Lepisosteus oculatus: one gene and its partner. The protein of the gene in region 2 purifies or fractionates together with the protein of the main gene of each other region. This does not show direct contact. Links are inferred from orthologs where the notes say so. Each region holds a gene or a part of one and is shown on either strand. Other genes may lie near its edges.

What was found. Proteins that work in one complex are often made in the same cells at the same time.
Region 1: the proteins of tada2b (region 2) and taf10 purify together in Homo sapiens (affinity purification with mass spectrometry; 4 studies listed by BioGRID and IntAct, counting the BioPlex papers as one, with this or other methods). This does not show direct contact. The link is inferred for Lepisosteus oculatus from reciprocal best matches to the Homo sapiens genes TADA2B and TAF10.

What each region holds. Positions count from the first base shown.
Region 1 is NC_090720.1:9,870,475-9,877,805, forward strand, and holds the start of taf10 (transcription initiation factor TFIID subunit 10), read right to left. Parts: upstream 3,067-7,331; 5' UTR 2,807-3,066; coding exon 2,608-2,806; intron 1,780-2,607; coding exon 1,622-1,779; intron 1,488-1,621; coding exon 1,423-1,487; intron 1-1,422. UniProt on the Homo sapiens protein: The TFIID basal transcription factor complex plays a major role in the initiation of RNA polymerase II (Pol II)-dependent transcription.
Region 2 is NC_090696.1:42,383,391-42,390,442, reverse strand, and holds the start of tada2b (transcriptional adapter 2-beta), read left to right. Parts: upstream 1-3,985; 5' UTR 3,986-4,040; coding exon 4,041-4,310; intron 4,311-5,277; coding exon 5,278-6,417; 3' UTR 6,418-7,052. Other genes in the region: cfap184 (cilia- and flagella-associated protein 184), read right to left, coding at 2,116-3,678. UniProt on the Homo sapiens protein: Coactivates PAX5-dependent transcription together with either SMARCA4 or GCN5L2.

The sequences.
Region 1 (7,331 bases), on a different chromosome or scaffold from region 2:
GTTAAAGGTATGGCAGTATACGAGCCAGCTCCACCAGACTCCATGACAGCTTTTTTCCCGCAGGTTGTCAGGCTCCTCAACACCCTGGTACCTACTGCACCTACTCCAAATCTGGAAACCTAGTTCTCTTTGCCTAATGTCAGGCACACTGTCTGATGTATTCTTTACACAATTCTTTGCAAAATCCTGTAAAGTAAATTGCACTCTGCACATTGCACTTCATGTACCCTGTCAGAAATGTCTATGTCTACACTGTCTGTAGCACTGGCTTGTCAGTGTCTTGTAATTAATAATTGCTTACACATATATAGCGCTTTTCTGGACACTCCACTCAAAGCGCTTTACAGGTAATGGGGACTCCCCTCCACCACCACCAATGTGCAGCATCCACCTGGATGATGCTCAATACTCTCACCACACATCAGCTATCAGTGGGGAGGAGAGCAGAGTGATGAAGCTAATCCATAGATGGGGATTATTAGGAGGCCATGATTGGTAAGGGACAATAAGAAACTTGCCCAGGGTGCCAGGGTTACACCCCTACTCTTTTCTAGAAAAGCCCTGGACTTTTTAATGGCCACAGAGAGTCAGGATCTCAGTTTTATGTCTCATCCAAAGGACGGTGCCCTTTTGCAGTCTCGTGTCCCTGTCACTATACTGGGGCATTAGAACCCACACAGACTGCAGGGTGAGCGCCCCCTGCTGGCCCCACTGACACCTCTTCCAGCAGCAACCTTAGTTTTTCCCAGCAGGTCTCCCATCCAGGTACTGACCAGGCTCACACCTGCTGAGCTCCAGTGGGGTGTCAGCTGTGAGCTGCAGGGCTGCTGGCAACATTCAGTCAAGAAAAATGCACAAGGGGGTAAGACACACTAGAAAGGAAGTTTGGATAGTTTGTCTTTTTGAGTGAACCACATGATTTCAATTTGTCCCTCACATTCTCCAAATACATCAAATTATTTATAACACAAGTATACTCTTCACATTATTCCTTTGCGTAATTCTGTTAAAGGAATTCTATTTCCACCACGTACTGGAATGAACTATTGCCTCGTGTTAATGCTAGGTTAACAGCATTAACATGTAAATGTCTAACATCCATGTAAATGCACTCTACTTTGCATTGCACTCATTCATTTCTCATTATTTCTTACTATTAAAACTGCCTTTAATATTCGAGGCATAAAATATAATTTAACAACAATACTGTACAGAGATTTATAGTAACACAAATTAAAAAGAATGAAATTTACCAAAACTACAACAAAAAACATTTAGAAACTTGTATACAAAAGATACAACTTACAATTCATGTTAATAAAAAAAACTTTGCACAGCACATACTGGAATATTAAAATTTGCCTTCTAGTAACTGCAGTACAGGATGGCTGGGCCATAGCAGATAGTGAAGTTAACACTTACATGCGGGGATCAGAGGCTTCGAACCCAGCCCGGTTGAGATAGTATCCGGTCACTGCGTCGGGGATCTGCAGGTCAAAGACAGGCCATCAGCTACAGTCTGGCGAGGCCCAGGCGTGTGTCTCTGTGAGTGTGTGTGTGACTCTGTCTCTGTCTGCGTGTCTGTGTGTTGTAGCCTAAAGCCCCGAGCTGCCCCAGGTACCGTGGGAGTGTAGTCTTCCAGCTGCATGAGGAAGTCGGCCAGAGGCATGCTGGACAGGACAGGCTTGACGTCTCCGTTGGCAATGCCAGGCGGCACGTACACCCCGTTAGACACCAAGGTCTCCGAGGGAGGGGGGACCGAGGCAGACGACAGCGGAGCTACATCAAAACGCAACAAAATCAAGATTAACGGGTGAGCTGACATCATTTTGATCACTCTGCTATTTTACATCACATAAGTGTAAATGAGTATGATTCTCTGCTCCTGGTATCCTGGGAAGGATGTTTGTGTTGCACAGGGCTTTGGAGTACTGTGCATCCTGATTTTGCTTCCTCCTCTTTAATCATCTTGGAGAGGTCTTGCTTGAACATTGTTACAAAAGTATGAAGATGTCAAATTCACACAGGATTTGTCATACAGGATCAGCGACAGAGCTATAGTGATTAACCAGAAACAGGGGGTTTAAAACAAGCCTATATGAAATTGAGAAATTCGGGAAGTATGAAGGAACAGCAGTAAAAGACTCTTTATTCCGCCCCAGTGGTCTTCTTACCCTTTGTGGCAATTTAACCACAAACTACAACCCATTTGTACAGCGTACAAATACAGAGTATTTAACCTGGTTTATGAACTATACTGTACTACTGCGGCTCTAATTTATCCCACCGACTTTTTTCCCCAAGAATCTTTTTTATTATTGGAAAAACCTATGAAGAACCGTCCAGTTATACAACTGTTAAGTTTGTTTTTTGACAGGCAGGAAGAGCGCATTAGTCGCTCGTCTCCTCCTCACGGGTGTATAGACCGCATATGGAGTTCTGTATAAATGATTCGCCAGCTAGCCAAACGACAAACAGTTTAACAAAACGCCCAAAGCCTGACCCCAAGCACACGGATCCACGGCAGCGGGCTGGGGACCGGGCTAGAGATACCCCGTGAACTGCGGCGTGTCCCGCCGGGGCAGCACGAACGGAAGACGGGCTCACCGCTGGTGGGAGCCGCGGAGGCGACGCTGTTGGCGCTGCCGGCGGTGTTGCTGCTGGTTGCTACGCTGTTGCCGCTGCTGCTGTTGTTGTTGCTGCTGCTGATGCTGCTGATGCTGCTGCTGTTGTTGCTGTTGCTTGTCGTGGAAGAGTTTGACAACGCGCCTCCAGCCGCCACGGGCTGCGGGGTATCGACGTTCATCGTTGTCGAGTACCAAAAAAAAAAATCTTGAACGTTGAACAGCGAACGGATATAACAGTCTTCGAGAAGCAGAGATTTGACGTTTGAAATAAGCCCCCCCAAAAAAGATAATGCAATTTAACGCGACGATTCCCAAAACACACACACACAAACACAAAATCCACGCATGTAGCGTATGTCAGCAGCTGGACTTTTTCAGCAACATTCACCACTTCCCAAACAAGCCCAGCTTCCGTGTGCCGTTTGAGTCAAGTCCGGACTACAACTCGTGCCCACGCAATGCGTTCCGCCTCGCTAGCACCCGCTGTTCAAGGAGACGCCAGCTGCGGGTCCTGTCTGGAAAAGTGATTCTGGCAAGTGGCATGTCCTGGGAATTCCAATCTTGAACTACCTGGAAATGTTGCTGATCCTCGGCTGCTCCAGGGTGCTCTCCTAAGGACTGGTTGCAGAGATCTTGTGAGCCAGCAGCCATATCACCCAGCAGGCATGAGCCTGGATGGGAGACCTAATGCCCCAGCATAATGATGGCATAGTGACTATACTGTAAAAAGGCGCCGTCCTTCAGATGGGATGTAAAACTGAGGTCCTGACTCTATGAGATCATTAAAAATCCCAGGGTGTTTCTTTAAAAGAGTAGGGGTGTTACCCCGGTGTCCTGTCCAAATTTCCCATTGGCCCTTACCAATCATGGCCTCCTAATAATCCCCATCTCTGAACTGGCTTCATCACTCTGTTCTTCTCTCCACTGAGAGCTGGTGTGTGGGGAGCATTCTGGCGCACGTCACATCATTAAGGTGGGGGCTACACACTGGTGGTGACGGAGAGGATCCCCATTACCTGTAAAGTGCTTTGAGTGGAATATCCAGAAAAGAGCTATATAAGTGTAAGCAATTATTATTAATGTAATTAGTTACTGTTGGACTTTGATCGGTGTTCTTTATACACCCTGAAAATTAGCTTCAAAGAGTAATTAATAGCACTATGTAAGTGTAAGGAATCATTATCCCATTTCAGGAACTGTCCTTTTTTACTCTAAACTGTACAAATGGCAATGTCCTTTGGATGAGACATAAAACCGAGGTCCTGACTCTCTGTGGTCATTAAAAATCCCAGGGTGTTTCTCAAAAAGAGTAGGGGTGTAACCCCGTCGTCCAGACCAAATTTCCAATTGGCCCTTACCAGTCATGGCCTCCTAATCCCCATCTCTGAACTGGCTTCATCCCTCTGTTCTCCTCCCCCCTTGAGAGCTGATGTGTGGCGAGTGTTCTGGTGCATTGATCGTACAACAGCTCCTGGGCTTAATCGGCCTGCCCACCACAACTCTAGATCAGAAGTGCTTTCCTTTGATTACATCCCTGTGTTTTCTATCAGACGTGTATACACATGCAAAATGTTCCCCAGTCATAAAAACACACCATCAAGCATGTTCAAGTGTATTCCAAACCAAGTGCTGAACTCCTGTTCTTGATCTGTATTGACTCAACTTAATGTGAGAAGTGAAGGCAAGGTATCAGTGACTGATCGCTTGGAGGGCAGCATTGCTGCCTTGCAGTGCTGGGGCCCTGGGCTCAATTCCCAGAGTGCTATGTGCATGGAGTTTGTATGCTCTTCCAGAGTTTGTGCAAGTTCTCTCCAAAGATGTGCTGGTGGGTTAACTGGTTTCTGGGAAAATTGGCGAAAATTGGTGTGAGTGTGTCTTTGTAATTGTGTGTCTGCCCTGCGATGGACTTGTTCTGTCCAGACTGCCCTGTGCCCATTGCTTGCTGAGGTAGGCTCTATTTTTGAAAATGGATGAGTGGACTGTATGGCCGTTTTTTTTTCATTTAGGGTCTAAAACATGTCAGTGAAGTTTATAAGTGTCCGTTCTTAACAGCCATATTCCAACGCTATATCAAAATCATGCAAAATATTCAATATAAAACGTGCTTACTGAATTCTGTGGGCAAAATACCCATACCCCTTCCCCAAAAAAGGAAGAAAAATCACATTTCAAATTATAGTTGATTTTTATTTATTGCCACAAGAATAATTATACATTTTAGTAAGAAAATCAAAAATAAATTTGTATTAAGTAGCCATTTATTTTTAATATTGACTTTTAAAAAAAATAAGCCCACAAGATGTTCCACCATATAAAATATAAACTTTGACACAGCTGGTGCAAAACCACACGTGACAATGTAGACCACGACAGAGAAGAAAGGAATGTCTTTTAAAAGACAAAACACTGTAGAGGGAAATTGGGCCAAACAGCTGTCTACAGGGGTGCTTTCTTAAAGAGTATTCTTTCATCAACTAAGAGCTACAGGTTCAAGCAAGAGAAAAGAGCCTTTCTGTATCTCAAGGATGGACAGAGCTGTGGCAGAAAGGAGCCAGGAGACCTTCTGACACAACTCTGTACTAGTTTGGAACTTTGTCTTGACTGACAGGATAAATGAGCCGGACACAGCGAGCGTCTGCTACTGTTTCTGTAAGCTGCACCTGAGAGATGGCTTTCCGAAGATTAACACAGGGAAAATGAGGCAGGAATTTCATTGCATACTCTGGACATGGATTATAGAGCATTCCCCATTTTCCCTTTAGGGAAGACTCAAATATTCTGTCGTCTATTAGGCTTCTTAAGACTCCTATTCTAGGCAGACTGTAACTCTTACCCAATTTTTATCGGTCTCCTTACCCTTGCCCTGCTCTGTTTCCAAAGTTATTTTGTTTCCTGACATGTTAAAGCTTAACTAGGGGTGACCGGCCCTGGTACTGGAAAGATTCAATCCAGCAGGTTCGACTTTAAATCATCCATCTCTAAACACAGCTAGCTCATTTTGTTTTGATCAGCTAAGCAGCTGATTCGGTTCATCTACAGTAGCTGAAAGATTCACTGGAAATGAACATTTCAACTCAGCAGCTGGCAAGAACAATGTCTGGCTTAAATGAGGCAGTGCATTTACTACACTTCCCAGTATTCCACACATGTTCGAATCTCTAGAAATCGAGAGCTTAAAGCCTTGGTGGGTTGTTCCTCGTCCAGGATCAGGGCTGGTCACCCACGAACTCAACAGAACGGAGACCCCCTTCACTATTTGGCACCATTTTCCCCACAAATAACAGACCCAATAACTCAACAAGACGAGCACTCCTCAATGGAAATGAAGGTATGTAGGTGTTGCGTTAATTGTCTTTCAGCAGCGGCTGTGTCTCAGACTGAGCCTGGACCCCAGGTGCCTGGACTAATTGAACCAGCCCTAACAAGTTCACAAGATTACTATATTGTTCGTTTTTAGCTAAATTGGATTATTGAAGAGGCTGGTATTGAGGCCACTACGCACTTTGCTCCTCTCACATGGGTGAATGGGTCCGGCTCAATCCAAGATACAGCCTGTGTCCACAAGCTAGCTGCCCAGTCCTTGAATAGTTATGGAATCGTTTCAGTCAGGGAGCCAGTCCAGATTGCAAGATGCGGACCGTGCAATGCAAGATTTCATTAAGAACTCCGGGAGAAAAGAACAGCTTGTGGACAACTGCCCTTTGGAATACATTTCGGAATGTTTTGCGTTACATGGAATCTGTCACCATACAAAACTAAAACCCTTTTATTTTTAATGAAAAAATATTTCTTATATATTTACACCACAATTCAGGTCTGCTGAGCCACAGTGTGAAGCCAGATGGTTGGTTATCATTTTTAAACTGGTCTCAAAGCCACTCGTCCCAGCTCTATCCCATCATGGGCGGGAAGCACTAATGACTCCGACGGCTGTTAAACGATCCTCCAGTTTTCAAAAGGAATTAAAGGACCTAAAATGTTATAAAATAAATATTCTTTATTTCAGTCTACTTCTTAAAAAAACAACAGTTTAAAACAAGAATTTCTTTACGAGACCACAAAAAGGAAAAACCATTGCGATTGCAATCTCACTTCTTTCGTTCTGTCCAGGTCTTGTTCACTGTTTCCTACACACGACTGCCCTTCTACTGTAGGAAATCAGACCTTGATGGCAATGTCCAACTGTTTTGATCCCACTTTTGAACAGTCTTCAGACCCCTTGCACATTCTGGTTTTGCTAATTTGCTTGCAAATGCTCTGGTATCGTGGAACTCAGGGAGTACAGACTCCAGACTGGAACTGTGGTGATGTTCTTAATCACTCTTAAATCAGGATAACGACACACTAAAGAAAACCTCCCTTTAGTTGCTACCACACTATGACCTACTCATTAGCAACTATGCAGAATAAATAAATATATGTCAAACTAAACTGCACTTTTATTTCAAGAGGCAGAGCTTAATTAAGAGGAACATCACACAAGCCTGTAGGATTAACTAAGTACACTAAGTGGGAAACACACAGGTTAAGGACTTTTGAAACGGCAGCATCTGCTCTCTAGGCTGTAGAAAGATACTGTTGTTGCTCCTTTCATTATCACGGCCCATTTCTTACCGATGCACCCAAGACCTCAAACTACAGATCGGTCTCCTGCCCGGAAGTGGGATGAAAAAAGCATACAGAGATCCGACAGGGCTCGCAACG
Region 2 (7,052 bases):
TTTACAGCATTGTTATGACAACCTTATATTTTGAATGTAAGTCTACTTTTGTTTCTCATGCTATACCAAAAATACTATCTTTGCAGAGTGCAGAAAGAACACGTAATACAGCTGTTTGCTCACCAGGGTAGCCTATTTGAAAATAAACTGCTGACTGAGAAGTTTGACTTTTTTCTTCCAGCTCCTCTATAATGTTTCTCCTTTGTAGCCCATATCACTGGTGTTGGCCTCGATCCCCTGGGGAAAGGCACAGCCTTTTCTCCTTTGGCTTGCTTAGCACTAAAGGTAAAATCCCCTGTGACTTAGTGAGATGATTAAATCAAACTAGGACCAGCAGTGAGTGTGTTGCTGCAGTCAACTACAGATGAGTCTAGCAACCAAGCCCTGTGCCAGAACTTATCCACATAATGTAGTGTATTTAAAGGACTAGTCTTTATCACCTTGATTTTCTGTTTCATTTGATTTGACTTTCCTGCTATGTGGTTTGTAGAATTCATTGGTATAATTTCAGTTTAGAATTTGATTTATTTACTGATCTAAAAAGAAAACTTTTACATACGAGAATTCTCTGAAAAGACTTCTGAAAACTAGTTGCCAGAAAGTGTAAAGAAAAGAGTGAAAAGGGGGGTAATTATGAAAATCCCATGAGCAAAAACTGCATATTCCCAATTGTACTTTTTATTTCAGGTCTGTCAGGTTCTTATTGTTTTTCAATCATATTTACAATAGTTAGATATAATTGCAAATAACATGAGGATGAAGTATTAAACAAAATCACACAAAACTTACAAAAGGGAATGCAATACAAAAAGCTGAAACAATAGAGTTAGATAAATGGTAGAAACTACTCCTTTTACATTCTGTTTTATGTTATTGTCTTTCTTTGCCTTGATAGGTAAATTTGAAAGAAAATTATAATGTAAGTGCTCTGTTACCCTTTATTAATAATTTCTCTTTAATGCTTGTTAAAAAAATAAAGCATTTTACCACTAACAAGTCAGAATCAACACTTATTCTGTTAGAAAAAGCTGAACAAGATTCCATTAAAAAATAATGTATAGAAATGGCAGACAGTTTGGTTATAAGAATAGTTTCCTAGATCCTAAAAAGCAATAGAACAGTAGGAGGATTTGAATGAAGAAACACACACAGGACACTTAAGGTCAGCAAAAAGATTCAAGTTAACATAAATCAAATAGTGCTTCCAATGGAATGAGATTAAATACAGGAAAGCAAAAGTTGCAGTAAGGTCAAAATACTCTATACTGAAATATGCACATCCTGAGAATGACATTATTTTTTCGGTGTCCACCCCAATGGACAAGGAGACGTCATGCTCCTGTATGCTGAATAATAATATGTCACCCATAAAGTTATTTTCAATTAAAAACAACTGTATCTTTGCTCAAATTAGATTAAGAGAGCTATTGCATTATTTGGCCAATTGAACTGTGTCCCCACATCTAAGAAATGATTTAATGTGATACAACAAACAATTGCACTTTGGAAGTGGAGGACAGGAGCTGGATACCCCAGGCCAATGATTTTTAAAATTCCACTCAACCCAAAGCATGAGATAATACAGTGGAAGAGAGCTGGATAAAATATTTAGTCAATAAGACTTTTAGATGATTGCCATTTAAGCAATAGGTTGACAACTGATTATACACAATATGAATCTACACACAAGTGACCCGGACAACAATAAATATAAAATGAATATGAGTAAAATTTATTTAAAAATATTTGAGGTTCACCCTGAAATAATTTAATTTAAAAAGAGTTCTGCTTTATCTCAACTGTGTTTATCTCAACTGGAAGGCAATCTGTTCACATTTTGTATGATAGTAATTGATATAAATCATCAATTTAATTTTTTCATGATGAGGAGACTAATGTGAATGTCAGGTACACAACTACTAAACTGTAGATTTGACTTATCTTAGAGAAATCATATCTCCCTTTCATACATAAATAGCCAACTATATAAGAAATATCTGAAAATACCAGCTGACACCATTTATTTTAGTTATTTTTTGGGTTGATTTATTTTATGTTATTGACCATGAAAGGAAATGGGTCCAGAGTCTTGTTATTTTTGGCATCTGCTGCTTTTCATTGGCGTGAAAGCTTAGCTTGCTCTAGTTTTCTCTTGAGTCCTACACATCTCAGTGTCAGCTCAGCATGCCGGCGCCTCAGCATCTCAAGCCTCTGACTCAGAGCTTCGGAGGCATCTACCTTTTCTTCAAAGTCCCGGAGCAAGGTCTCATTTCCCAGAAGGCCACACTTCTGCCGGAGCTTCAGGTTGTCCGTGCGGAGAGCATCACGGGCCTGTTTGGTCTTGGTGAGGATGTCCCTCTTCCGAGCTACCAGGGCTTCCACCTCTGTAAGTTGAGCCTTCTTTGCCTGGTTCTCCACCTGGACAAACTGCAGTTTCTCCTTGACGTGGGTGAGGACCTGGACTGTGCTGGTAATCTTCTTCCGGAGTTTCAGGAGCTCCTCGTTGCGCTCCTCAATCTTCTCGTTGTACGTCTGGTTCTCAATCTTCAACTGCTCAAAGTCGATGAGGTGCAGCCCTTCAGCCAGCTCCTCCTTAGCCTTCAGCATAGCCTCAAATTTCCTGACCTTATTCTTCAGCTTGATGTTCTCTAGCCTCACCTGGACCAGCTCGTTCTCTTTCCGCTGCTCATTGGCCTGGATCTGCTCCACTTGTGCGACAGCGGCTTGCTTTCCTAGGCGCCGGCTCATGGCTGACACTGCCACCTCCTTCTTGAAGCCCATGAAGACCTTCCACTCACTGTCCACCTGGCTCACTTTTTCCTGGGACTGGGCTCTCAGCTCCTTGATCTGCTGCTGGTAGCTCTCTGAGTCCCGCCTGTGCTGCCATTTCAGGTCCTCCATTGTAGACATGTACTTGAGGTAGCGCTGCTCCTGATCTGAGACTGGCTTCTCTTTCTCATGACGGATTTCCTCCCCTGTCTTCCTGCGGAAGTACTCCACTAACTTGTTCTGTAGCTGACCGCTCTGCTGGATAATATTCGCCTTTTCCTTCTTAAGTTCTTTGTACCTTTCCATGTATTCTTCATAGTTTATGCTTAGGGCTTCTTCCTCCTCTTCCTCCTCCTCCTCTTCTTCTGTTGGGCTTGTCTCTCTTTCTGGCGCCTCCAGCTCCAGCTCTAGGGGAGCATTTTCCTGCTGGGCCACTGGGCTGCCCTCTCGAGACAGCAGCTCTCCTATGATCTGCTGCCCTTCTTCCTCCTCTTGCTCTGCTAAAACTTCACTAGAAGGCACAACTTGCTTCTCCTCCTCTTTTACAGGTGTTGATGCATCTTCAGCAGCACTATCTCCTTTTAACTCTTCTAAGGTTTCAGCTTCAGCTTCGGCAGGTCCTCCTAGAGACTCACCTGAAACCTCATCTGCTGGCCCCTGTCTGGTGCCGGGAAGGTCACTGTTAACTTCAGGCAACTCTTCCTTTTGTTCCGTCCCAGCCTCGGTACCATCCTTTTCAGCTAGCAGTTCAGCAGTGCAGTCATTGTTATTTCCAGCTTCATTAGATTCTCCCTCGAATGTCTCTTCTTGCTTTTCGGTTTGGGACAAACCGTTAGTGTTCTCCGCTTCAGGAAGGTACTCTGTCGTTTCCTCAACAGTTTCGAGTTTGGGGGGCTGTGACGCCTCCATCGCAGTACGAAATAATATAAGAATAATAAGTCACTATTTGTTCCTATCCCGCTGTAAAATAAATGTAAATCTATTGTTAGCTGTAAAGTTAGCTCAAACTAAACACTGGGTCCAAAAAGAAAAAAAAGAACCCAAAACTGAATCACCTAGAAATTACACCTACTGTACCTTTCCTGTCCAACTATTTTATAAACCTAATGCGGTGTCTTTCGGTTGCCCCAGAAACGGGGGCGTGACCCAACCAGCATGCGCGTGATATTTATATTAATGAGACGCAGGGAGCAGAGCGGTAGCTGCTCAGTGCGCATGCGCCTGCCTTGGAGGCTGTGCAGCTTCAACAACAAGCAGCAGCAGCCTGCAACATGGCCGACCTGGGCAAGAAGTACTGCGTTAATTGTCTAGCAGATGTAACGAACCTGCGGCTTCGTTGCACCGAGTGCCAAGACATCGAACTCTGTCCAGAATGCTTCTCTGCAGGCGCCGAAATAGGCAATCATCGGCGATGGCATGGGTATCAGCAAGTAGACGGGGGACGCTTTACTCTTTGGGGTCCCGAAGCAGAAGGAGGCTGGACCAGCAGGGAAGAGCAGTCGCTACTGGATGCGATCGAGCAATATGGCTTTGGAAACTGGGTAAGTTTTCTTTTATTTTCCCACGGGATGGAGAAGAAGAGAGAGGATTACGTTTTGATGGTGACAGTTGAAATTGCAGTACTCCAGTATTGTTCTGTTTCAGCAAATGTCACGTTTGTGAGTGAGTGAAAAGTTAATTTGAAATCGGTTTCAATCAGGAGGACTGGCCAAACTATAGGTAAGATCAAAAATTACTTTGTCGGTTTTCTGAGAATGTAGAAAACGCGTCAAATTAAAGATTTATATAAAATAAAAACCTGTGATTATTAAGAGCGTTTAAACATTTTAGGATTTTGAACGCTTCGAGTGGAAAAAACTATCGCATCGCAAATACGTGAGATTTTAAATGCTATAGTAAAAATGACTGTGTAAAGAATGTGTGTTTTGCACCATCAAGAAAGTAAAAAAAACATAAATTCTTCCCGTACTACACTATACATTATTAAGAGTTTTTCTTAGAATATCCATAAACAGACACCTGCGTGCTTGTGCGATTTAGCAATTTGTTTGCTGCCATATATATGCAATTAGATATAACCACAGGCAATTATTCCAGTTTACAGGAACGACGTATTTTTGCCTACAGAAAGCTTGTGAATAGATTTTCTCCATGGATGTCTAGGACTTTGTTGTGAACATTGCCCTAGTCCAGTGAACATTGTTCACTGGTGATAGAGAGTGAGTTTTCAGTGCTGTTGGTATCCACAATGTCTGTATATCATTTTAAACCTTACTGTTCTATTTTGCATAAAACAGCATGTTCTGTTTGTGCTAAGCTTAATTTTTAGTTCTGTAATTTATCTGCATGATTGTTACTTACTGAGGGAAAGTTTTTGTATGTTTTGAGTTATGCCAGATAAGGCCATTGGCTAAGCAAATACTAAGACGTGTGTAGTTTCTCTGTAACAATGGCTGCCTGTGTAAAGATTTGTATCATTGCCCCACTAACGCAATTGTATTGTTCCAGGAGGACATGGCAGCCCATGTTGGAGCTTCAAGGACGCCACAGGAAGTCATGGAGCACTACGTGACCATGTACATCCACGGTAACCTTGGCAAGGCCTGTATCCCGGACAGCATCCCAAACCGAGTGACGGACCACACATGTCCAAGTGGGGGGCCGCTGTCTCCCAGCCTCACCACCCCACTGCCGCCCCTTGACATCACCGTCGCCGAGCAGCAGCAGCTGGGCTACATGCCCCTGCGCGACGACTACGAGATCGAGTACGACCAGGACGCCGAGACGCTGATCAGCGGGCTGTCGGTCAACTATGATGACGATGACGTGGAGATCGAGATGAAGCGGGCCCACGTGGACATGTACGTGCGCAAGCTGAGGGAGCGGCAGCGGCGCAAGACCATCGCCCGCGACTACAACCTGGTGCCGGCCTTCCTGGGCAAGGACAAGAAGGAGAAGGACAAGGAGAAGCCGGCTGCCGGGGGGGCGGCGACAGCGGCGGCGGTGGTGGCAGCGGCGGCTCCGCCAGCAGCGGCCGGCTCCTCGGCCGCGACGCCAGCCCCCAAGCGCAAGATCACCAAGGAGGAGAAGGAGCAGCGGCTCAAGCTGAGGCCCCTCTGCCAGTTCATGGCCTGCCGGGAGTTCGAGGAGTTCTTTGAGAATATGCACAAGGAGCGGGTCCTGAGGGCCAAGGTGCGGGAGCTGCAGCGCTACCGGCGCAACGGCATCACCAGGCTGGACGAGTCGGTGGAGTACGAGGCGGCGCGGCACAAGCGGGAGAAGCGCAAGGAGAACAAGAGCGTGGCCCAGTCCAAACGGGGAGGGGGCGGAGGAGGTGGGAGCGGGGGCGGCGGCGGCGGTGGTGGTGGCGGGGGCAAAGAGGAGGGCAAGGACAGCGAGTTCGCCGCAATCGAGAACTTGTCCGGCTTCGAGCTGCTCTCCGACCGGGAGAAGGTCCTCTGCAACTCTCTGAACCTCAGCCCCACACGCTACCTGACGGCCAAGACCATCATAATCAAGGACCACCTACAGAAGCGCCAGGGGATCCCCTCCAAGAGCCGTCTCCCTAGCTACCTGGACAAAGTCCTCAAAAAGAGGATTCTGAACTTCCTCACCGAGAGTGGATGGATATCGCGGGACGCCTCTTAGTCTGTCTTACTTCGTTGCCCGTTTCACTTCATTGCCAATTTGTGTGTGGTTTACTTTTCACAAGGTGTTCTGTGTGCTGTGTCTGACCTCTGTAAGTTCCGAATGGGCCAAACTACTGGACGTTATTTTTTGTTTCTTTCTACGGGAGCGTGATAATGCTGGGACTGGCGAAAGAAAGAAGTCAAAAGCTGTTTGCGGTTTATTTAAGCCTTTTTAAAGCTGAGCATGCGAGAAAACAAAATGGCAATAACAGAGTAACTGAAGAACAACGTTTGCTTCTCTCCTGTGATCTTTGCCCCAGGGCTCAACTACAATCCCTGAACTTACCAATGTGGGTGCTGTTTTACTGCAGCTCTTCGTCACTCGTGTATGGAAAAGATCTCCGTAATAACTTTGAAGTCACAACGAGGCACCGCCTTTTGTGTAAGGGAGGGAGACCCATGCTATTGTTAACATTTATCTCCTACAATCCAAAAGTCATGCTGGATTCATTTGGCTTTGTCTTGAGAGATAAATGCACGGAGAGAAAAAGTGTCATTTCTGTTTTAGGAAAGAAACTGCTTTGTACAGTTTCAGGCAGCTGGGATATTCATTTGGCCTGTTGAGTCCTTTGGGGGGGGGGGGGGGGGAGTTAT